Linked DNA regions of Astyanax mexicanus. The protein of the gene in region 1 purifies or fractionates together with the protein of each later gene. This does not show direct contact. Links are inferred from orthologs where the notes say so. Each region holds a gene or a part of one and is shown in the gene's direction. Other genes may lie near its edges.

What was found.
Region 2: the proteins of mink1 (region 1) and strn4 purify together in Homo sapiens (affinity purification with mass spectrometry; 3 studies listed by BioGRID and IntAct, with this or other methods). This does not show direct contact. The link is inferred for Astyanax mexicanus from reciprocal best matches to the Homo sapiens genes MINK1 and STRN4.

The regions. Positions count from the first base shown.
Region 1 is NC_064408.1:25,113,227-25,125,099, reverse strand, and holds the start of mink1 (misshapen-like kinase 1), read left to right. Parts: upstream 1-7,590; 5' UTR 7,591-8,994; coding exon 8,995-9,051; intron 9,052-11,873. Other genes in the region: pld2 (phospholipase D2), read left to right, coding at 1,477-1,701. UniProt on the Homo sapiens protein: Serine/threonine kinase which acts as a negative regulator of Ras-related Rap2-mediated signal transduction to control neuronal structure and AMPA receptor trafficking.
Region 2 is NC_064425.1:35,548,784-35,559,844, reverse strand, and holds the start of strn4 (striatin-4), read left to right. Parts: upstream 1-5,708; 5' UTR 5,709-5,900; coding exon 5,901-6,188; intron 6,189-11,061. Other genes in the region: fukutin-related protein, read right to left, coding at 3,284-4,725, 5,092-5,207, 5,335-5,396. UniProt on the Homo sapiens protein: Calmodulin-binding scaffolding protein which is the center of the striatin-interacting phosphatase and kinase (STRIPAK) complexes.

The DNA.
Region 1 (11,873 bases):
GGGCAGATGCCCTGCTATTCTTCCTGGGGTCCTGCTGACAATAATAACAATGATAACAATAATAATAACAATAACAACTACAACAGTAAAACACAATGCCTATAGGAATAACAATAAATAATTCTATCAACGTTATATCAAGTCCACTTACAAAGGCTTAAACAAGGAAAGAACAAAAGAACACACCATATATAAAAAATAGACATTGTCACAGATGATGTAGAATAATACATGAATGCCAAACTAAGTTATGTCACTTTAATAGTACTGAACACAATCTTACTTAGTGAGTTATATGTTAACCATTTAGATTTTATTGTATAAGTATTGTATATTATTGTAAATCCCCCCAAAACAAACTTTTATAAGAAAAGGATTTAAAAATACATTATCTCAAATCAGATTTGCTCATATCGTTATGATTTTCCGTTTCCTTATTTTTTTTTCGTGCTGCATAATATATCCACTCCTTGACAGGTTGTCAGTGTGGACAGCTAGTCAGTGTTCTTCTCTGGGCTAGAGGGGTATAAAGCTCCCTCAGTATTGAGCTGTGGAGTAAAGGAAATGTATTTTCTGGCATGATGTTGCTTCAGTTAGTACTTAATTTAGTCACTCTCTCACTGCAAAATGCAATCAAATCCTCAGCAGCTTAACAGCAATGCTTCAAAATTTGATATAAACCTTCCCTGGAAAGCAGGCTAAAAGCAGGATAAACTCTCTTTTAATACTTTTCAAATTAGAAGTCCACAACAGAAGAGTCCACAACAGTTTCAGAATCAGTTTCTCTGATTTTGGTATTTAGAGGTATATGTTTGATCAAAATAATCATTGTTGTTTTTATTCTATAAACTACGGACAACATGTCTCCCAAATTCCAAATAAAAATACTGTCCTTTAGAGCATTTATTTGCAGAAAATGAGAAATAACAAAAAAGATGCAGAGCTTTCAGACCTCAAATAATGCAAAGAAAACAAGTTAATATTCATAAAGTTTTAAGAGTTAAGAAATCAATATTAGTTTTTTTTTTAAATCACAGTTTTCATGCATCTTGGCATTTTTTCCTCCACCAGTCTTACACACTGCTTTTGGATAACTTTATGCCACTCCTGGTGCAAAAATTCAAGCAGTTCAGCTTGGTTTGATGGCTTGTGATCATCCATCTCCCACTTGATTATATTTCAGAGGTTTTTAATTTGATAAAATCAAAAAAATTGATTAAAATAAATTATATAAAATAATTTGGTAAAATAAGAAGTGCTGTATATATATATCTGTCCATATACATATATCTCTGCATCCTTAATACTATAATGTAAATGCTGCATTTTTTTTTTTATTTTTGTTGTGCATCAATTATGTATTTTCTTTCTGCCCAATTTAGTTTTCAGTAAGGAGAAAACATTTAATCTAACGTAGACTTTTTTCCTGAACTATCATTTTAATCATTTATTCTGTGCTGTGCTTCTTTCCGGCAGGTGTTCAGGTGTCTTCCGCTGGACTCGATCCGTAACATGCGTGAGCTGCAGGAGCATGTGAGCGTCCCCAACCTCGCCCAGATGGACCCAGAGAAGGCCAGCCGTGAGCTTCAGGCCATCAGGGGCATTCTTGTCCACTTCCCCCTGCACTTTTTGTGCGAGGAAATCTTGCTCCCGCCGCCCGGCACCAAAGAGAGAATGGTCCCTCTGGAAGTGTGGACGTAGTGGGGCCTGGACCAGGGAGGTTATGGTGTGATAAGCAGACACGGATTAAAGAAAACAATCTGAACCCATAAACACTCATTATCTGCCCTCTACTGAGTGAACTGGAAGCGGTGGGTTCAGTGTGATAACGGACCAAAACGCCTGTGCTAATGTGATAGAGTGTATGGGTTAGTGGTTGGAGAGAGATTAGTCTAACCACATGGAAGTGTGCTACAGCATGTACTCGGCCATTTCCTATCTGCTCTAGAAAGCTAGGAATGTAAATCTCTGATCTTACGTCAGATTACATTAGATTAAATTACTATTATGACTCTTTAGAGAACCATTTGGTGCAGCATGAAATTTTACCAAGGTTCAGTTCAGATTCTTTAGGCAACAGTTCAGTTCTAGATCAGGATTGGAATTCTTTAGGAAATCCTTTAGGGTTTAAGGACACTATGATTTGATTAATTTACTCTTATAGAAATTATTCTGTTTGTCATGAGATCTAAGATTTTGGTAACTCAAATATAATAGGTCACTTAGATACCTAGATCTTAGATGTTACACTGACACAATTCGATTAGTTTGAAAATCTTTAAGAAATTATTCAATACATAATGAATTCAGCATCTTTTCACCAGAATATGATTTTGATTCTTCCAAACACAGTTTGATGTGTCACAAAATCTCACATTTATCTATTTAGATTAACATTAATTCTGGTTCTTTTGGAAACCAGAATTATCATTATATCACAAAATGGAACTGTGGCACAATTCAAGTGCTTTAGGAAATGATTCAGTTCATAATGGGAAGATTTTGCCAAATTAGGATTTTATTTCATTATGATTCTTTACTACACTATTCAGTAAATTATAATGTCATTTATACGTCATGAGATCTTGCACATCAGATGTTGCAATGACACAATTCTATTTAATTCATAGTCTTCATAAAATGAGTTGTTGCAGAACCGAACTTTTGGTTCTGATTATCCACTACACTATCATGATTTTAATCACGTTATGATTATGAATCTTTTGCAAATTCACTCAGTATATCAAAAAATCAATGTTATGATTGACAAGTAGATGACGCTATTTTTTAAAGAGATTTTTACTTAAAAAATAGCCGGAGAGTTTGTTTTTACCATAGAAAACAAGCACATACTTCACTAAATATTTTTCAAGACAAACATTCCAAAGCCTATGCATTTGAATCAGCACCTTCAGATTGAATGCATTGTAAAGCATTTTCACACCTTTAGTTGGATGGAGGCCATCCGGCACTTCACAAAGGAAGTGTGTGTTATCATGGTGCTTTTAGACGAAGGACTTGCAGCTGTGAGGGCCTTTTAAAATGGCTCAGTTAGAAGTTAGCAAGCTAATCTGCACTAGTCTCAGTTTGCTGTAGTTTTGTAAAATGGTGGATGGTGTGAAGTGTCTGTGTGCGCGCGTGTGTGTGTGTGTGTGTGTGTGTGTGTTTTTGAGAGGATTGAGGTGAGCACAGTTGAGTGTCTCCAATGAGACGAACAGAACGTACGTTTATTATTGCAAAGGCGCGTAGGTGGATGGCATTGCTTTCTCTGCCTCTTTCCCTATATCTCTTATTCTCCCTCTATCGCTCTCTCTCTCTCTCTCATTCTCTTTCTCTCTCTCTCTCTCTCTAGTGCTGCACCTCTCTGTGCAGTGCCAGCAAATCTGTCAGAACATTTGTGGTTGTTATGGTGACGGGTATAAAGAGCTGACGGGGTCGCGGCTGCCGCGAGAAAGCGAGTGAAAAAGAAAGAGAGAGAGAGGAAACGAGAGAGATGGAGAGGAAGTCTAGATAAACAGCGGCTTTGGGAGAAAGAGAAGAAATAGGAGGAAAGAGAATGTAATAAAATGTTATCAAATGCAGCGGTGAGAGGAGGATGAGGTGATGGTGGTGATGGTGATGATGGGGAGTAAAAAGTGGGGAATATTGGGCTCAGGGGTTCAGGTTGGGGGCGGGGCTGTTTTTTTTTGAGGGAGTGAATGTGAAATATTGAGAAAAAAGGGATTGAGGAGGGTGCCATTAGAAGAGGAGATTTTGGATGTTTATTTTTTTTGGGAGGGGGTGGTGGTGTGCATTAATCATTGTGCTCCTCCCCCTTCCGATGTCTCCATGGCAACCAAGTATTTATGGTTATGTAATACTTTTGTCAGTGGTCCAGAAGGTTCCACTTTCCGTTTTTAGTCGGTGGGAGAGGGGTGTAGGGGTGCTGATAGGGAAACAGAGAGCGTGTTTACATGTAGACAAATGATCATTATCATCAGGCCTATCAGATTTCGGCAGCAACACGACATGACTCAAGTGGTCATGAAAAAGCAAATTAGACACCTGGCTCTTGTCCAATTAATTGGGTTATTCAGAACATGTATACTGCACATGTGCAGAACTGTTCACAAAGCAGATTTATTTATCTACCGAACAACTGACAAATTACAGAATTACACTTACTGACACAAAATAACACACCAAGAAATAAATAAATAAGAGACCACCTAAAAATGATGAGTTTCTTTGATTTTACCAAGTTGAAAACATCTGGAATATAATCAAGAGGAAGGTGGATGATCACAAGCCATCAAACCAAGCTGAACTGCTTGACTTTTTGCACCAGGAGTGGCATAAAGTTATCCAAAAGTAGTGTGCAAGACTGGTGGAGGAGAACATGCAAAGATGCATGATAATTGTGAATAAATCACAATAAACCACAGTTATTCCACCAAATATTGATTTCTGAACTCTTAAAACTTTATGAATATGAATGTATTTTCTTTCCATTATTTGAGGTCTGAAAGTTCTACATCTTTTTTTGTTATTTCAGCCATTTCTCATTTTCTGCAAATAAATGCTCTAAATAACAGTATTTTTATTTGGAATTTGGGAGAAATGTTGTTTGTAGTTTATAAAATAAAGCAACAATGTTTATTTTACTATAACATATATCTATAAATAGCAAAATCAGGGAAACTGATTCAGAAATTAATTTAAATTAAATTAGTTTTGTTCCAGAATTGCATATATGTGAATAAAATATAAGAGTAAAAGGATTATTAGTTTATTGAGAAAAACTGTAGGAGGAAGCTTTAGGTACCCTTTTGGACTGCCTCTAACTTGAACATAGGATGAGATATGGTTGAGCATGGAGGCATACAGAACGCATGTAGCATCCTGCAGAACATTAGCCTGTTGCTGAAGCTGGCATCCCAGCTGCTTCCATAAACGCACAAAGTGTTGCAGTCTGGTAGAGACATTCCTTAAAAGTCTCTACTGTGTGTGGGCCAGCATTATCCTGCTGAAATCACCTCTTGTGGCAAAGCCCAATGTCTAAACTGACCACAGCTGTAATTATTTACATATCTGCCTGAGCAGCAGTCCAGGATGTTTTTAGTCCATGAGTTTATATGCAAATTGGAATTTGCAGTTAATATTTTTCTGGCAAGTGATTCTGTTAAATGTTAAATGACTGTTAAATTCAACATAAATTCAAGATGGACTGTTTTAACCTTGTTTGGCTGTAATAAAATGTATCAATTAAAAGCGAGGCTGCCCAGGCAATACTCAGGTTCTTCATGGTGGTATCTGTTTCACAGTTTAGTAGTTACATGCTTTGAATTTATTAAATTGTATGTAAATTGTAGCCTAATTGCCATAGATTTTATAATTATAAACCACTTATAGGTAATGTATAGAAAGCTTTAAAATAATTAAATTAACCCAATCTAAACAACTGCACTACTATTGAAAAAAACACTAAGCTAAAAGAACTTAAATATGTCTAAGCAATGATCAATGTAGAAGCTCTACAAATAATAAGACGAATGATTAAATGTTTAAATGTTGACATTAAAAATATGCAAGTTCACTGACACAAAACTTTTAATAATAGTTTAAATAGATATACAGCTGATTTTAGTCCATTTGTGCTATCACCAATATCAATGCATTTTGCCCCACACTGGATATATGACTGTATATACCATATATTTGTCCAAATAAATGCATTAAGCTACTGTAAATTGTACCAATTGCTTTTAATTTCAGAATAAACAGTGAATGAGCAGATGCCCCAGTGGTTTTGTTCATATATTCGGCTGCAAAAATGACTAATATATTGTTTTAGAGACAAACAGATTATGATTGTGTAAAATTATTGCTAAAAAGATTTTGCTGAGATTATTTAGTACATGTAAACACACTCGCTGTTGGAAAAAAACAGCATATGCAGCTGTGCCAGTGCCTCTGTTAACAGCAGCAAACACAGCTTTTAAAAACAACTTTAAACTGCTTATGTAATGCTGTACTGCTATTATGGGTCCTTAAGGGTGAAGCCACTTCACAGCTGAGCTTTTCTTTTTCTTTTTTTGGGGGAATAAGCATTCACCTGCATGCACCTGTTTTTAGCTAGCAGGCAAAACACACACACTCACACACACACACACACAAGCTCTATTACATTCCAGCCACATTAGGCAATCTGTTGGTTTGAGACTTTTTTGAGAACCATTTAGTATGCTCATGTTCAGATTATTTGTAGTTTCTGTACAGGGTATTGTTTACCAGTTTGAATAGGAAGGCTTAGTGCTGTAATTGTAATATTAAATATGAACTTTTTTATATTTTATATTTGATCATTGGATATACACTATATAAAATTACAACACAGTCTGACCGTCAATATACTATGTATACAATACTAAAACGGAAAAAAAACTTTCATTTTTCAGTATTTAGTGTTCCCATCTTTTGCTTTTATTACAACCTCATTTATTTTCAGACAACTTTCAGACAAGTTTTTTTCTAATCTAAAACTTTTCCACACAAAGTTCAAATATATATGCACCTATAACAGTTTACATGATTTGTACAATTGTATGAAGTACTACTTTTAGTCAATGCTTTTGTTGTTTTTTTTTCTTCTGTGTAGTTCTTCTAATTGTTTAAAGAACACTACTTGTTATTAAGTGATAACTAAAGTGGGTTATTCACATACTCAATCTCACAATGTCAGTCATAAATAAAGACTTGAAAAGTTAAAATGTTTGAGTGTTTCTGTGTCTGAATATTATAACCACTTTAAGTGTCAAGCTACAAATTATATTATATTTGTGTGTGTATACAGAGAATTGTTTATTAAAATAATAATAAAAAAAAGTTATTAAATCAATAAAAGAGTTTGTAAAATGGAGGGACCAATTCATTAAGCTAAGGGAAGGGAAAGGGAAACAATTTATTAAAATGAGTAAATGGTTTCTTAAACTGAGGGAATGATTTGTTAAATTGAAGGAATGGTTTATTAAACTGAAAAAAACTATTTATTAAACTGAGGTAACACAATTTTAAACTGAAGGAATTGTTTATCAAACTGGGGGAACATTTATTTTAGATGAACGAATGTTTTTTTTTTTAAACTGAGTGAACAATTTAAGTAACTGAAGGAATTGTTTGTCAATCTGAGGGAACAATTTATTAAACTAAGGGAACAATTTATGAAACTGAGGGAATGATTTGTTAAACAGAAGGAATGTTTTATCAACTTGAGGAAATGATTTGTTAAACTAAATGAAATGCTTTATCAAACTGAGGGAATTCATTGTTAAACTGAGCTAACAATGTATTAAACTGGTTGAATTGTTTATCAAACTGAGAAAACAATTTATAAAACTGATGAAATTATTTATTAAACTTAATTAATTGTTAGACTGAGCTAACAATTTATTATTGTATCTATAAGGCTCTACGTTCTCATTTCACCCACCTGTGTGTCTGTCTGCTACAGTTTCCAGCCACAGCAGGTAGTTTGGCCCTGTTCTGGTACCGTAGCGCTTCCTTCTCCCGGCTGAGAGAGAGAGAAAGAGGTGGGGAATAAAAGGAAAGCAGAAAAAAGAGAAGGAAGGAGTGAAAGAGTGTTGTGTGTTCTTGCAGAGGAGAGACGTCATAGCGCTGGAAAAACAGGACCGTACCAAAACACGACCAGGGAGAGAGAGGGAGAAGTTGCTGCTTTTGTGGAGGCGCCAGAACTGCGCCTGATCCTCCTTCACCTACAGAGATTTATCTAGCTGAAGTTAGGAGCTGGACGCATTTAAATCCGCCTAGTTAGCGAGGGTTAGCTAGCGCTACATGTTTTAAACGACACGCTTCGTGCTCAGACGAGCCTGGTTTTCTGGAGAGGAAGGGTTCAAGTTGAAAACCCCGTTTGAAAACACCGTTTGACGTTTTTTAACTGGGCTGGACGGAGTGAAAGTTTGTGTTGTTTGAGGAGAACACAGTGAACATTTCAGCGCTGCAGACTGGGCTAAACGATTAATGCAGGTTATCGTTTTTTTTTGAGGGAAATGTTGGATCCTAAGTGTTTAGGTGTGTGTGTTTAATAAGCCTGAGTGTGTGTTGCGTGGGCAGGACAGACGCGAGGCGGTTCGGCTGATGCAGCGCCGTGTTGTTTATTAGCTGTAGCTCGGTTCGTCCGTTGGGCTAGCGCTAGCTTTAGCCTGCGCCTCAGACTCGGCGCTGAGAGAGAGGAATAAAAAGGGGGATTTGGAGGAGTTTAGAGACTATAACACGCCTGCCGCTGCACATATCGGCCTTTTTCCCTTCTGCTCTTTTTTCTCTGTGCCTGTTTTTTTTTATCTGGTGAGGTGCAGCAGAGCGGGGGGGCTTGCCAAAATGAGTGGTGAGGAGGAGCGCAGCACAGGAGCAGTGATCGGATCTCCAGCGAGGAGTGACCGTTGGAGCTAATGTATTAGTAGTTAGTGTAATGCAGCGCAGTCTGAGGAGGATTAACAGCGCTGGATAGCAAACTTGCTAACTAAAATTAGCTTTTTATCGCGTAACTAGCTAGTAAACTAATCAAGCTAGCTCTGTTTGACAGCTCGGGGAACAGTCTCATCAGCTGGCCTTCAGAGACTTCAAAACAAACCCAACAAACAGTTAACTTAACTAGCGAACAGAATACAGAGCTGTAGTTAACCAGGTTAGCTAAGCTAACTATTTCTGTCGAGCCTTATAACTAGCTAGCAAGCTAACCAACTGGTTAATCTGACCTAGCGATAGTTAACTAGCGAGCTGAATATCGTCCACTGTAGCTGTCAAGCCGAGCCAGATGGGACGTCTTAAGTTTTTCTAAACCGCCTCTCCCGTTTTCGCCTCAACGCTGAATCAAGGGGAGAAGTCACGAAGAGGATCTTCAGCTTGTGGGAATATATCACTCACCATCTAGCTAGTAATCTAACTAGTTAATCTACGTGTTTTTGTACTGGACACGGACTTTACAAACTTGGCTGAACCATGTCTGAAAACGCGCCCACACGGAGTTTGGACGAAATCGACTTGGCCGCACTGAGGGTAAGTTAACGCTAATCACTTCTCTAACTATAATTAGTTATATAACGTTACTTATCTTAAGTGATACAGCTAACTAACAGTCGGTTAACTTTTAGCTATATCTAGTAACGTTAGCTAAGCTAGCTAACGAACTACCTGCACGCCACACCTGTACGAAACACCTGAGAGTGACTGCTGGCTGAATCTCTCAAGCCAACACATTCAGAATAAGCGAATAATTAACCTAGACATGAACGTGACAGTTAAATGACTATAACCTAAACAGGTTTCTGCCTCTTTTTCGCCAGTAAAATTGACTTAATAGGTTATTGAAGCATGTTAGTTAACGCTAGGTGTGTACGAGCGCCACTTTTCCTCAGTGCTTGTTTTCTATTGAGTTTTTATTATGGCTGGGCCTGAACACTTGCCTCAGGGTTATCAGGCCTAACACAGGGCGCATATATCTGTGTGTCTCGTTGTAAGAATCTTTCTTTCTTTCTTTCTTTTTTTTCTTTTTAAATGATTTAAATTTTTGATTGAACTACTTCTATGGTATGTCTATCCAAGTCAAGATACTTATCTAAGCCCCATTCATACGAATCCTATTACTAGCCCATGCCTCTCAGCATCACTAGGCAGCCAGCAAGCAGTTCACTAGCTAGTTATTAGTTAACAGTCGGTTAACTTTTAGCTAGGGCGATGTGTCTCGGTGTGTGAGATTTTCATCTATCTATCTATCTATCTATCTATCTATCTATCTATCTATCTATCTATCTATCTATCTATCTATCTATCTATCTATCTATCTATCTATCTAGATAGATAGATAGATAGATAGATAGATAGATAGATAGATAGATACCTGCATGCCACACCTGAGAGTGACTGATGGCTGTCTCTCAAGCAAACATCTTAAGAATGGCAGTAGTTAGTATAAAAAAAAATACAGTAATGATAATAATAAAGAATACTACAGTTGTCTGAATTGTGATGCACGATGTGGTCGTGACAGCTGTAACCTAACCAGGTTTCTGCGCTCTTTTTCGCCTGTAAAGCTATCATGTTTTTTGCCTGTTAGTTAATCTAGCTGTGCAGGAGCGCCACTTGGCCTTAGTGCTTGTGCTTTGAGTTTTATTATGGCTGGGCCTGAACACTTGCCTTAGGGTTAGCAGGCCTCTAGATTCATGCATTTATGGATTCATGAAAAAGGCCTAATCCATGGCTCATGAGGGATCTGTGTGTCTGAATATGTAAGAATTCCTTTCTTTTGTTAAAAAATGATTTATTTATAATGGTATTGGCTAAAGTTTGTGTACCAAAAACACCCTTAAATCAACATCACATGGCCATTTTACAACCTTACTAGCTACCTTGGAAGACTCATATCATTGCTGTCTAATAAAAGACATGTATCTCCAAGGCTGCAACTTAACCTTCAATGGAAGTATCTGTAAAGAGTGTAAAGACTGTAATTCAGGTCATTTTGGAGAATATATATCAGTCCATTCATCAAGAAATGTGACGCAGAGTGAAGGACAGTTCAAACTATGTAGCAAACTACTTGTTTTTCATTGGTCAGTGACAATGCACATTATAGCCCCTTAACATACAAAAATGAACATGTACATTTTAAGTTTTGCATTGGTATCAATGTTAAGCAATACATTCCCTAGAGGGTTAAAAGTCTAAAGTTTCAGATGAGAACAAACATGGCGATAGTATACCACTACTTCTAGGAAAGCTATTCTGTTCCGCCCATATCCGTATGCTTTTAGAAATTTGTTTTTAATGCAGATAAAATAAACACAGGATACAGAAAGAAGGCTCTGTAATATTTAACACTGAGCAAAACAAGCGTCTGCGGTTTAACCAAGTGACTTCTTGTGACTTTAAGACCGACTTGTGTAAATGAGCTTTTTCTGATTGGCAGGACAAATTGTCTTGAGCCACATTTAATACTGAAGCACTTCGGTGTTGAAAATATTAAACTGTACAATTTTAATTATCTAACAACATCCATGTACAACATCAAACTTAAAAAAAAGTGAAAGTTATTTTTTATTTGGTATTGGCTCTTTAATGTCTTAGTATTTTGGCCACTGTTGATTTTGTTTAGGCTTGTGCATGCTGCACTGCAGCCAAGCATTCCAGCTCCTGAACAGCTTCTCATCAGCTGATTTTAGTTTGTTTCTCTTGTGGTTACTGGGTACACCGTGCACTCTTAGAAACTCCAGCAGAATGTCTCTGTGTTTTTTGGCAGATTGTAAGTGGTTGCAAATCGTCAAATTATGGTTGTTGCAATTCCGGGGAAATTTCTGTTTCCGTATCTGTCTGTCTGTATGATGTCTTTTAAAGTAACTTGCGTACTGCTATTAATGTTACACAGAGGTATTGGGTATTTTTTAGTATTAGTGATTTGAAAGAAACAGTTGTTGAAGTCTAATCCTGGTCAACACATCTGGATCCAGATCTTTACTTGCTGTACACAAAATAAACTTCTTAAAACATCTAACTGATGGTTCCACCATTTCTAGACAGTTCACTGTATAGCTAATGCTACATGCTAATGCTACATGCAATGATTCATGAGTAAACCATTCTGAACAAAGCTCAGATGAGCCTACTTTTATAATAGTAGAAGAATGCACAAATAAATACAATTGTAATGTTAAATGTAAATATATAAGAATTTTAAATTCCTGCACATTGGATATGGAACGTCTCATCCTTCTAGCACTTGCTATCAGGATGATCAGGATGCTCAGGATGCACTTGCTAACAGTCGCTCAAACTGTTACAATTCAAATGGCCATGCCATGAGCATGTTGGCCTGTGTTCAAAGT
Region 2 (11,061 bases), on another chromosome or scaffold:
TGACTGGATTATTTATTCAACCTGCATGTTCTGTTTATTTATACATTATGAAGTGCTGTTTTCATACATTTGTATTAGCAAATATATGTCCAACAATGTTCTGTAGTCAACTACGTTCACTGATCAGCCAGAACATTTAACTCATTTTGATTTAGCCCTTATTTCAACTCTTCTGATCATACAGGAGGAAGCTGTAGTTATATAATGACACACTGTAGTCCTACCACTGATGAAGAACTAGAGTTTGATGAACACTGTAAACTGTGCAGCAACAGATTCAGAGCTTCTGTCTCTGACGTTACTTTATCTACAGGGTGGAGCAGCTGTAGGTAGGAGTGTGTAACAGAGTGGAGGAGAGTGAGAGATTAAACACAGTGTTTAAAAACTCCAGCAGCACTGCTGTATCTGATCCACTCACTGTACCAGAACAACACACACTAACACCTCATACACCACCACCATGCTAATCAGTGCTAATCACTGCAGTGCTGAGAATAATGACCCACCACCCAAATAATAATAACAGCTGCTCTGTGGTGGTTTTCTCTCCTGTGGGGTTCTGAGTATTAAAGAACAGGGTGAAAAGAGCACAATAATAAAGTATACAGAGAACAGAACCGATACAGAACTACAATCTGTTATTTTAAAACTACAAAGTGCAATATATGATCAGTGAGTTTAGAAAAGGATGTGGTTTTAATGTTGTTAATCAGTAGTTAATCAGTGTATATCAAGATATTGAGTGTATGGTATGCTTTCAGTCTATTTGTCTGTCTTTCACGTTTTTATGTTGACTTTAGTTTGCCTTTATGAAGTGTCATACATGATCAACTTTTCTGTGCTCAGTTGGAAATATCTGAAGTGTCAAGAGTGTATATATCTGCAGTAGAGTTATGCAGTTGGAGGCTAATCATTCCAATATTTTGTGGTGAGAACATTATGCCAGTGATTTATGTAAATGCTGATGGTTTTGTTGTGGCTGAAATGAAAGAGATTTATCTTACAGACTATGCAGAATGTACTTGTTACTGGGTTTAAATAAAGTATTTTATATTTAATTATGTGCTTTGTTAACTGGTTCTGACGGATTCAGCTCTGCTATTCGTTTTATTAGCCGCTCAATTTTATGAACAGTCCGGGGTTCACCAAGACCATAACATAAAAAAACAAAACAAAAACAAGGCAATGTTTTAAATAATCAAAGTTGTTTTATTTACTATTTGGTCCGCATTTACATTTTACACGTATCTCAAAAATTACTCAAAAGATGTCAGAATGGACTAAGCCAAAATAACAAACAAAATAATTAACTGGGATTTAAGAATCTAACTCACCTAACTAAACAAAAAAAGAAAATTACTAGAAGTTTAACTTTTCTTTTGGTTTTATAGTCAGAAGCTTTATGGGATGACTTTGGTTAGAATAAATGTGGCGATTCAAAGATAAAGTCTCGATTGGTCCACTCACACAAGAGGTTAATAGCTATAATATGAGCATACATTACTTACTTATATACAACATACATTACTTACATTTATACAGACCTGTGGGGTTTATTGGGGATCTTTCAGTAAGGCAAAAATATTTTTGCATGTAAAAAAAACAAATGTCATTCATTTGCCCCCAGTCCTTTCTTGTAGGGTTTCCTTTCCAGCACAGTGGACCTGTTTACAGTGATGTGTAAGTCAAGGGAATAGGACAGCTATTGCAAAATATGCTTCTATTTTCAGTGAACTATTTCTGTGTGGGTCTGAATGTATCATTGCTCTACTGGAGATTTATCTATGACACTGGCTTCAGGCAAAGACCACCATATCATAAGTCACTTGGTAAACAACTGAATGATACATTGCGTTATAAAAATGACGGCAAACTTACAAAGAAAACCCAACAGTGATAAAATTACTAAAATTATTACACAGTAGCAATTAGGATGTTTAGGAAGTCTTTTTATAGGCATGATTTTTGCCTGATCTGACACAGAATCAAATCCTAATTAAAGTTCCAGCAAGGAAGATTTACTTGCAGCTCCAGTTTGATCTCACATCATTTGAACAGCACACTTCAGCCTTGTATACATTCTAATTACATTCTTATAAAAAATATAATACACTTAATTTAACCTGGTATATTTTTCAATCATAGGATCCATGATCATTTGATTTATTTTTAGAGGGTGCTTCAGGAAAATGTAAGAGACCATCTGCCAAAAGATAGATGAAGGTAAAAGCACACAGCTGAAAGATTTCTGCATAGAGGAGTGTGAAACACTCTTCTCCCAATGTCAAAGGGCTTAATTTAGCTTTTGTCTTCCAAGAGGTAAAATGCATATAAACTTGAATGAAATAAACTTGCATTTTTTTTTACTTACATTAAAATTGTTTTAAAAAGATATTTATTATCCAGATATTTATAACACAACTGGCAAAACAGGGTCAGGTTTCAAGCCTGGACTATGTTTAGGAGCAGGGTAAGGGTTAGGTTGTTTCTGGTTGAGGTTAAGTAACAGTTAGGACCAGGTTTATGATTAGAAGTAAACAGATATTTAATTAAATGCAAGTTAATGGCAGGTTAGGTGTAAGCTATAGCTCTGTGTGTATATATATATAGCATGCATATTTTGCAGAAAGTTAATGTTTAAAATAACAGTACATTATAGTACCCCTGACCCCAGTCAGTAAAACAACAGAAGCATGCCACCACCTTGTGGTCAGACAAATAAATTGCAATATCTACATTATTCACGTCAAAATAATACAATTTCCCCACTAAATGTTTGCTCTTTTTTGAAATTGAAATACATTTGTCAGCTCTCTTTATCTAATACTTTTAATAATTTCCTATTATAAAATCCCAAATAAGTTCATAATATACCAATTACTGAACTATTGAAAAATTAAGCTATTAAAAGACAATGGTCATGTATTAATTACAAAAACACAAAATGTGCGACACTTTTAGCATAACTTAATAAACTAAAATTAGTAGCATGAGCACAGCTTACTACTCATATGATGTTTATATCCACTAAAGCAAGTATTTTGTAATCCGTCATTTAACCAAAGCCTTCTCCTGTCACATAGTACGTACTGATTTTCTAAACTTTCATATTAAAACAAACATTTTGGAGATCGTTTTTGATTTTTTTGTGGGAATGTTTGTGTATTTCAAATCCTTAAGCATGACAACAGTATAAAACAGATAAACTCAGACGTTTGACAACCTTAAGATTTTAAACTGTTCTCTTTAGTTCAAAGTTTAACACCACAAATAAATCACAACCTCACATTCGACTCCTATCCAGTCTTTTTTTAGCAGGGTTAGGATACTGTGGGTTCTCAATGACCCCCTGCCCAAACTTTAGCTCCAGGAAGGCACGGTGGTTGTTGGGTCCATAAGCAGTAATGCCCACAAATGTCATGGGAACCAGTGGCTGCAAGAAGTGCTCAGGGAATTCTACATCCTGCTTGTGATCAGTCCAAGTGTCCTTGGTCATGACTCCATTCCGTGGGTAAAAAGGCCAAAGATCCACATGCAAGTGGTTAGCCTCACTATACTGGATGCGGTAGAAGTCTCCCTCCACTGCCCGCTCCCACACATACCCGTTAGCATCCACCAGTGACCCTGAGTCTAGGTTCTTCAGGTACTCACAATTTGACACATCCTCCAGATAGATACCCAAATCGACATCATAGTCCCAGGGGATGATATCTTGATGTCTGGCTGCTCCTAACAAACTGCCCCCTTCCAACCAATAGCGCACACCAGAACTGTCTAAGATGTTAATGACATACTTTGTTGTTTCTCTGAGAGCACGCAGGCAACAAGGTGGGGTCCAGCGCTCCAGGTAAAGATACGCGGGTGTGTCGTCACGCACCGTGCCGAAACATCGTGCTGTCTCCTTTGAACAGCCGAACCACTGTTCCCTTCCATCAGGCCACACTAAGCGTTTAAGACCGAAGCTCCGCATCAGTTGGTTGGCAGCCTCTTTAAGCCGGCTGTCCGCCTTCCATTGGTTGTGTGCCGAAGTGAAAAGAGGCCGGTGGCTTGCAGAGAATGATGGACCCTCCAACAGCTTTACCTTCCAGCCTCGCAGTGCAGTCTGTATAAACAGTGAAGATAGCAGGGGGCGTGCTAAGGGGTCAGACAGGTTAAAAAAGTCTTCAGTACGAATGAGGACTACAGCATCACCATGCAAAGCAGTACACACACTGCCACTACTCCCCAGTGCCCCAAGGGAGTATGTTGCTGTCCACTCTTTTAGGCTCACCTGCAGGTGAAGACACTGGACCGCAGCACGAGTCAGCACCGGGGCTGCAATCAGCCGTACTGGCCCACCTCCCTCACCCTCCAGCTCTCGAATTAGCCTCTCAAGCTGCCGCCCGTGATCCAGCTCCACACCGTCAGGCACTAGCAGTACAAATTCTGACTGTACATAAAATTCTGGACGGTGTGCTTGAGGAGGCTGGTCTGGACTCGGAGACAGCACCAGCAAACGGGCATTTTCAGGCAGAGCCAGAGGAGGGTAAGGCAGGGTGTCAGCCACAACCAGGAATGGCAGCTCTGGCCTCTGGTGCAAGAAGGAGCGTGCAGATTCAGCGACATAATTCTCAAAGTCTTCAAACTCCCGAAGCAGGATGGTCATACGAGGACTTCGCAGACCTACTTCACCTCCTACCTTGTTGGCTTCTGCTATGTTTCCCACTACCAGCCCACCAGCAGCTCCTAGGCCAGACGCAGATAGAGAGACTTTCTTTGAGCCTTTTCCCTGCATGCGCTTCTCAATCATCTGCTGCTGTGCCCGGGATACAAAATACAGTATTAACAAGTTCAGCACAATGGCTCCTGTTAGCAGAGCCTGACAGAAACTGATTCTCATTTTCACTATACAGGTTTTACACTTATATAATATACAATGAAAACTAGAATTATACTATGTGACGTACACACAAACGTGAAGACCAGAGTGGTCTTTTGCTAGTGTTTTTCTCATATTAAACATGTCAGGAACAAACAAAAACGTGGTGAGGAATTTGTGAGTTGTATTTAGATGCATAATATCATTAATAATAAACAAAAAAATGAATTGACCCATTGACTCCGGGGTAGTTGTACAAGAGAAACAAAAGTTTTCAGAGTAGGCGGGTGGTGGATTATGACATCCTATCTCTCTGCCTTTGCTCATCCAATCTTTTGCACCACAGAGACTGTAAGACACACAAAGAAAGGCATAAACGCATTAGATCGCCCTTTAAATAAACAAAAAAACCCGATTGTAATGTATATGCTGTAACAACAAACAAGTAGCGATTGAAAAAAAGAACACTGTCTTACCTGTTTCTGGTTGTACATTGACACAAATAATGGTCACTGTGTCTATCCTTTAGACCAAACATTTAGCTCGATCTTACAGGTCTATCACGGCCACACATGGCCGTTCAGATTCTCTGTATTCCGCAACAGTCGATCAGTCACACAGTGCACATCTAAATCCAGAGTAGCTTTAGGCTCTGAGCTGAATCTGCACCGGTGCGCCGGTCATTGTTTCAGCATGCGGAGCGCGCGGGCGGTGCGGGGCGCGGGTGCGGGTGCGGGCCCAGCAGAGTCTCGTGCTCAGTGTTTTGTGGGTAGTAAGCGCAGGAAGCTCGGCGGATATCACAATATAGCAGGAAGCGTCCCGAGGGTGCGCTCGAGAGCTTAACCACAGCAAGGAATAATGGAGTGAGGGGGGAGGGCGCGGCGGTGTGCATGGGATCAGTATTTGGCAGGCTCGGGCTGTGTGTTCGGTTTTGTCCGTGTCGCGAAGGAAAATAGGAAACGGCTCCGTTTGAGCGCGCGAGGAACGGGGACCTCGAGCCTTTTCTCACTCCAGTTTCTCCGTGATTTGGCGACACGCTGTAATGGAGGCGGAAAGATTCGGCGGGGGGACGAATCAAAATACTGCGGGTAGCGGAGCTGGGCGAAATCCCAACGGGCCGAAGACTGTGCTCGGTCCGCCGTCTGCAGCGCCCACCGCCGCGGCTCCATCAGCGGCGGCCGGGGCCATGCCTGGGTCCTCCCAGCCACGGGAACAGCAGGACGGGGAGGCGGGCCTGTCGCTGCCCGGGATTTTACACTTCATCCAGTATGAGTGGGGGCGCTTTCAAGCGGAGAAATACCGCTGGGAAGCGGAGCGAGATGAGCTGAGGGTAACTTTTACATTAATTTATGTTCTTATTTTAAAGAGTCAACAGGACTGAAGGAATGTGTGAGGAGCAGCGGTAACAGTAGAGTCAGAACCCAGGGCTGGTGCTGCGGGTTGTTGGCGTATTAGTGAAAGTATAATAATGTACAGCTGTATGTTCATGCTGTTTCGTGTGTCGCGTATTTGTCTGGTGTGTGTGTGAGAAGGTTTGGCCTGTACTGTGTTTTTGTTTGAGTTTCTTTGTAACATGCGCTCCCTCCCTGTGCTACAGTAACTGTGCTGTTAGTGGTGTAGTGTTAGGCGTGTAAGGTATATTGGTTTGCTGCTCATATCAACAGAAAATGCGCTGCCACGTGACCGATGAACCACTCCTGAGATTCAGTTTGAGATCTGGTTGTAAATCCAGGGCGAGCAAAAAGAGCGATGACGTAATGTGGTTTGTGGGCGGAGTCTGTAGTAAAGCAGGGACCGTGGCTGTGCTCCTCCGCCCAGAGTAAGGAGCTGTGGCACATTTAGATGAACACGTTCATCACTTTCAGGCTCCCTTTTTGGAACACAGTTAGTTACTGCACCTATCTATATAAGCCGTCCGATGCAGACTTGCAAAGGCCCGTTTTAGAGCTGCAGCTAATGATTATTTTGTTAGTTGGCTAATACATCAATTAATCCTGCCATGCCCTCCATCTCTCTTCATGTAGGCGTGGCTCCTGTTCCAACGCATGCTTTACCTCACCTGTAGATTTCTGCACACCTGAATGTCACTTTTTTTCGACCACAATAACTGGTTCTGTTTAAGCTTATAAGAGCCTTGGTGCTTTTCAGTGAACCAGCCCATGTTTGCGCCAGTTTTAGTGGGTGAGAGGATACGTCACAGACCACTTCATCAGCAGAGGTCTTTGCACAATGGCTCCTGCATATGTAGATACGCCCACATATTTTGTCAGGGTTTAAGCTGAAAATATTCTTTGGTTCCGTCTGCAAACTTAACTTTTCAGGTTCCAGAGCCTATTTTTTTTGGTGGAAATGCTCCAAATGGTTCAGTATTGGGGGCCCGAAGAAGGTGGCCGTTTCATGTTGGACGAAAAACGCTACCTGTTGTCCAATCTCTTCCTAAAAGGGGAACTGAACGTGTGGGGTAGTAAAACATAATAACAAGTACCAACTTTTGTCAGATAGCCCACCAACTTTTACCTCCAGCATGATCAAATACATCGCGTTTAGCCAATCCATTTGGATTTTTTTTATGAACAAGCTCAGACTAGCTCCACATTTAAACAGAGACACTGAGAACTTTGCACATGTATAAAAGACCAATATTTAAATACTGTAAAAATATTACTGTATCACCACACCCTCACATCAGCCATTCATTTCAGTAAATTACCTAACCCATACCACAGACATTTCAGTGCACATGTGTCCTTACATGATGTTTAAACTGGCAAACATTAAGACTTGGAAAATTTAGGAGATGCATTGTTCCTGGTGTGTGATCCCAAATTCTTTCCTATCTCTAAGACGTGTGCTGTTCTACTTGATGAAATATCTCTGGAGGCAAAGAGGGAGAAATAGGAGTTATCTGCCCTTGACCCAGTTCTCAGACAGAGGAAGTCAGGATGGGTTGGGCAGCACATTATATATTATTGCACTTTACTAAAGTCAAATCAAATTTATTTATATATCGCTTTTTACAATACATATAGCAATCTTAAAAATTAAGTAATTATACACAGGTTTAATATATGGGTCAAAGGATTTTCAACATGCCAATTTTAAAATACAAAAAAATTTTGTATCTGTTGCAATTAAAATGCTGTGAACACAAACAGATTGAGTTATTTTAGTGTATTTTCATTTAGAAGAATTGGCCTTGGCCTTACAAAATGTCATGTGGTGCGACCGTGATTTATGTTAAAATTAATACATTGCCATAATATACTTCATTTTTAGTTTACAAATTCCCACTAATATAAAGTGTCTATTAATAAAGTATTTGCATTATTTTTTAGTTTTTGTAAATAAGGATCTCAATTTTGTTTTTTAGTGTCACAATCACTGGCTTTAATGTAGTTAATAGGGTAATTTTCTGTTAATCCAATAAAACTGTTAAAATGTTTTCTAAAATACCATTAACTTCAGCATACAGTATCAATAGTTAATATTTCAGCAACAGAAAATTGATACTTTATTTAAAATTTAGTAGTTACTGTTATTATAGGTTGCACCACATGATGAGTGGTCGCTCCAAATGACATAAAGTATCGTATCATTACTATTTAACTATTTAATGAGATCAATAAACAATAAATTCAACAAAATAAATAAATACAAAAATAGAATTCCATACAAAACCAGAATTGTTTTCTATTTTTTTCCCAATTTCTCCCTAATTTACATGACCAATTACCCAACTCATTTATTCAGACTTCCCCTATTACTAGTGATGCCCCAACACCAGGAGGGTAAAGACTAGCACATGCCTTCTCACATGTGAAGTCAGACTCCACCTCTTTTTGAGCTGCTGCTGATGGAGCATCACAGCGCTAACGCTCGGAGGAAAGCGCAGCGACTCAGTTCTGATACATCAGCTCACAGACGCAGTCTAGGAGTGATGAGGGGAAAGAGGACCATCTACTGTACCCACCCAGAGAGAGCAAGGCCAATTTTACTCTCTCATGGCTCCAGCAGCTGATGGCAAGCTGCATGACTGGGATTCGAACTGGCAATCTCCTGATCATAATGGCAGCGCTTAGCCCGCTGGACAACTCTGAGCCCTGATTTAAAGCAGATTCAATTAAAATATCAAAGATTTGTCATAAACACCAATGTTTCATAAAGTTTTTTTTTGTTTTTGATTAACAAAATTCTCATCACACTGTAATATGTGTAAAACATAAGTGTTATGATGTGTTGTAAGTGCAGCGAATATTATGGCTTTGTTAGGAACAGTTAATTTTAGAATTGAATAAACCAGGTTTGAGGGTGCATTGTGTCAGTACCTAAACTATGTTGGAAAAAACTTTCTAAAAGTTACTAGATGTTCTCAATTGTTAGAATAGTTTTTTTTGCTTGTTTATGGTTGCACTTTAACCATTAAGGGGAAATTTAAGTAAAAACAAAATAAATAAAAACTTGTTTTTAACCATTTCTTTATCATTTGTAGTTTTATTTTTTGTTTTTAAAATTTTAAAAAAATTTCTGGGGCCATGTTGCCCAGCTCTTCACCTCCCTATAACTAATTTGTGCAGCATCCGAAGACAAAACCTGGTGAATCTTTAAGATGCCTCTAACAATCGTTAATTTGCCTGGAATCATTACATCATATTTCTGAACGCTCTCAATAGTAAGTAATAGTTGACTCTGATTTTTTGGCCAGAATCTCACACAAGTCTAATTGCTGCAGGATTAGAATTAACACGCTGCCTATGGCGAGTGGTTTTTACTTGCTTGACAGCGGCATCTGATAAAATAGATTAACAGTTGTAAAGAAATACATAAAAGTTAAAAGACATGCTTGGTTTATTTATTTATTTTATAATTTATTTATTATATTTTACAAAGATTAAACATTATCTGTAATTTTGACTCACAATTACTTAAATTGCATTAAAATATTTTCCAAAAAAGTACTAAAATATAGTACTTTATGTGTATATGTCATCAACTAAATATAAAAGCACAAGAAGTGACAAGCACCACATGATATTTTGACACTTTAAATAACCAAAACTTTGTGATTAACTAATTATTTTTGATAAGTAAAAGTAAGTACAAATGTGGGAGAGAGACTACATATCTATAACAACTTTTTATGCTTTTAAACCATTTTTTAATAAAAAAAAAATTTAGTTGGACACCAAATGTAGGCGTCGCGTCATTGACCCATATTCAGGTGAATATTCCAAAACAAATTCCATTGTTCTGCTTCCTCTGAGTTATTGACTGTCACCCAACACAGATCATCTCATTCTCCACTACAGATTACATCCAAGTTTGTATGAACTCTTTTTTTTTTTGTAACTGCTTCCACTGCTGGTGTGGCTATTCACCTGGAAATATTAGATCTGTGTGGATGTATAATGACATTTAACATTCACTTTAAAGTTGTTTGACCAGTGGTAGGATGGTCCCACCCTTATATGCAAGCCTTGGTTCCTCTGAGTGTTTTTTTCTCTTCCAGCTCTAAAGAAATGTTTCCTTACCTCTGTTGCTTGCTGAAGGTTCTGTGTTGTATGTTTTGCCTGATTCTCCATCCTGCGATAACATTTCTGTAAAGCTGATTTGAGAAATCAGTTGTAAAAAGCGCTATACAAATAAACTCCAGCTGTAGAAGCAGATAGATATTTCCTAGGTGGAGTTCATATAAACTTCAATGTAATCAGTAGTGAAGAGTTGAACAACTTGTCTAAAGCAGGTGGCAAAAACTGATCTGTAGTTGGTGACAGAAAAACTTGACTTCCAAAAACGTAAATGTCGGGCCGGACAGGTGGGCAGTCAGTAAAAAGGAAAAAGTCAGAAAGATGTAATTATTTCTGATTAGATTCATGGAGAACAGACAAAATGCAACATTATCGGAGCAGGGCTAATAACCGATGGCAGATCTTAAGCAGAAGGTAACCTAGACATGGAGCCAGTCAAAAACGCTGGCATCCATCCACTACACTGCCAGCAAACCTGAGTGATTGCATGCAGTGGATTACTCTCATATTGCTATTTATATAGTGGCGTACCTGGAGAAACCTAATAAAATTCACGAATGTTTAACCCCTATAGACTCTTTAACCTCTGGAAGCTATTCAGTGTGTCTTGGTTAAAAAAAAAAAAAGAAACTTAAGAATGGGTCGCATCCAGCCGATTTGGAGTGCAACATCATCTCA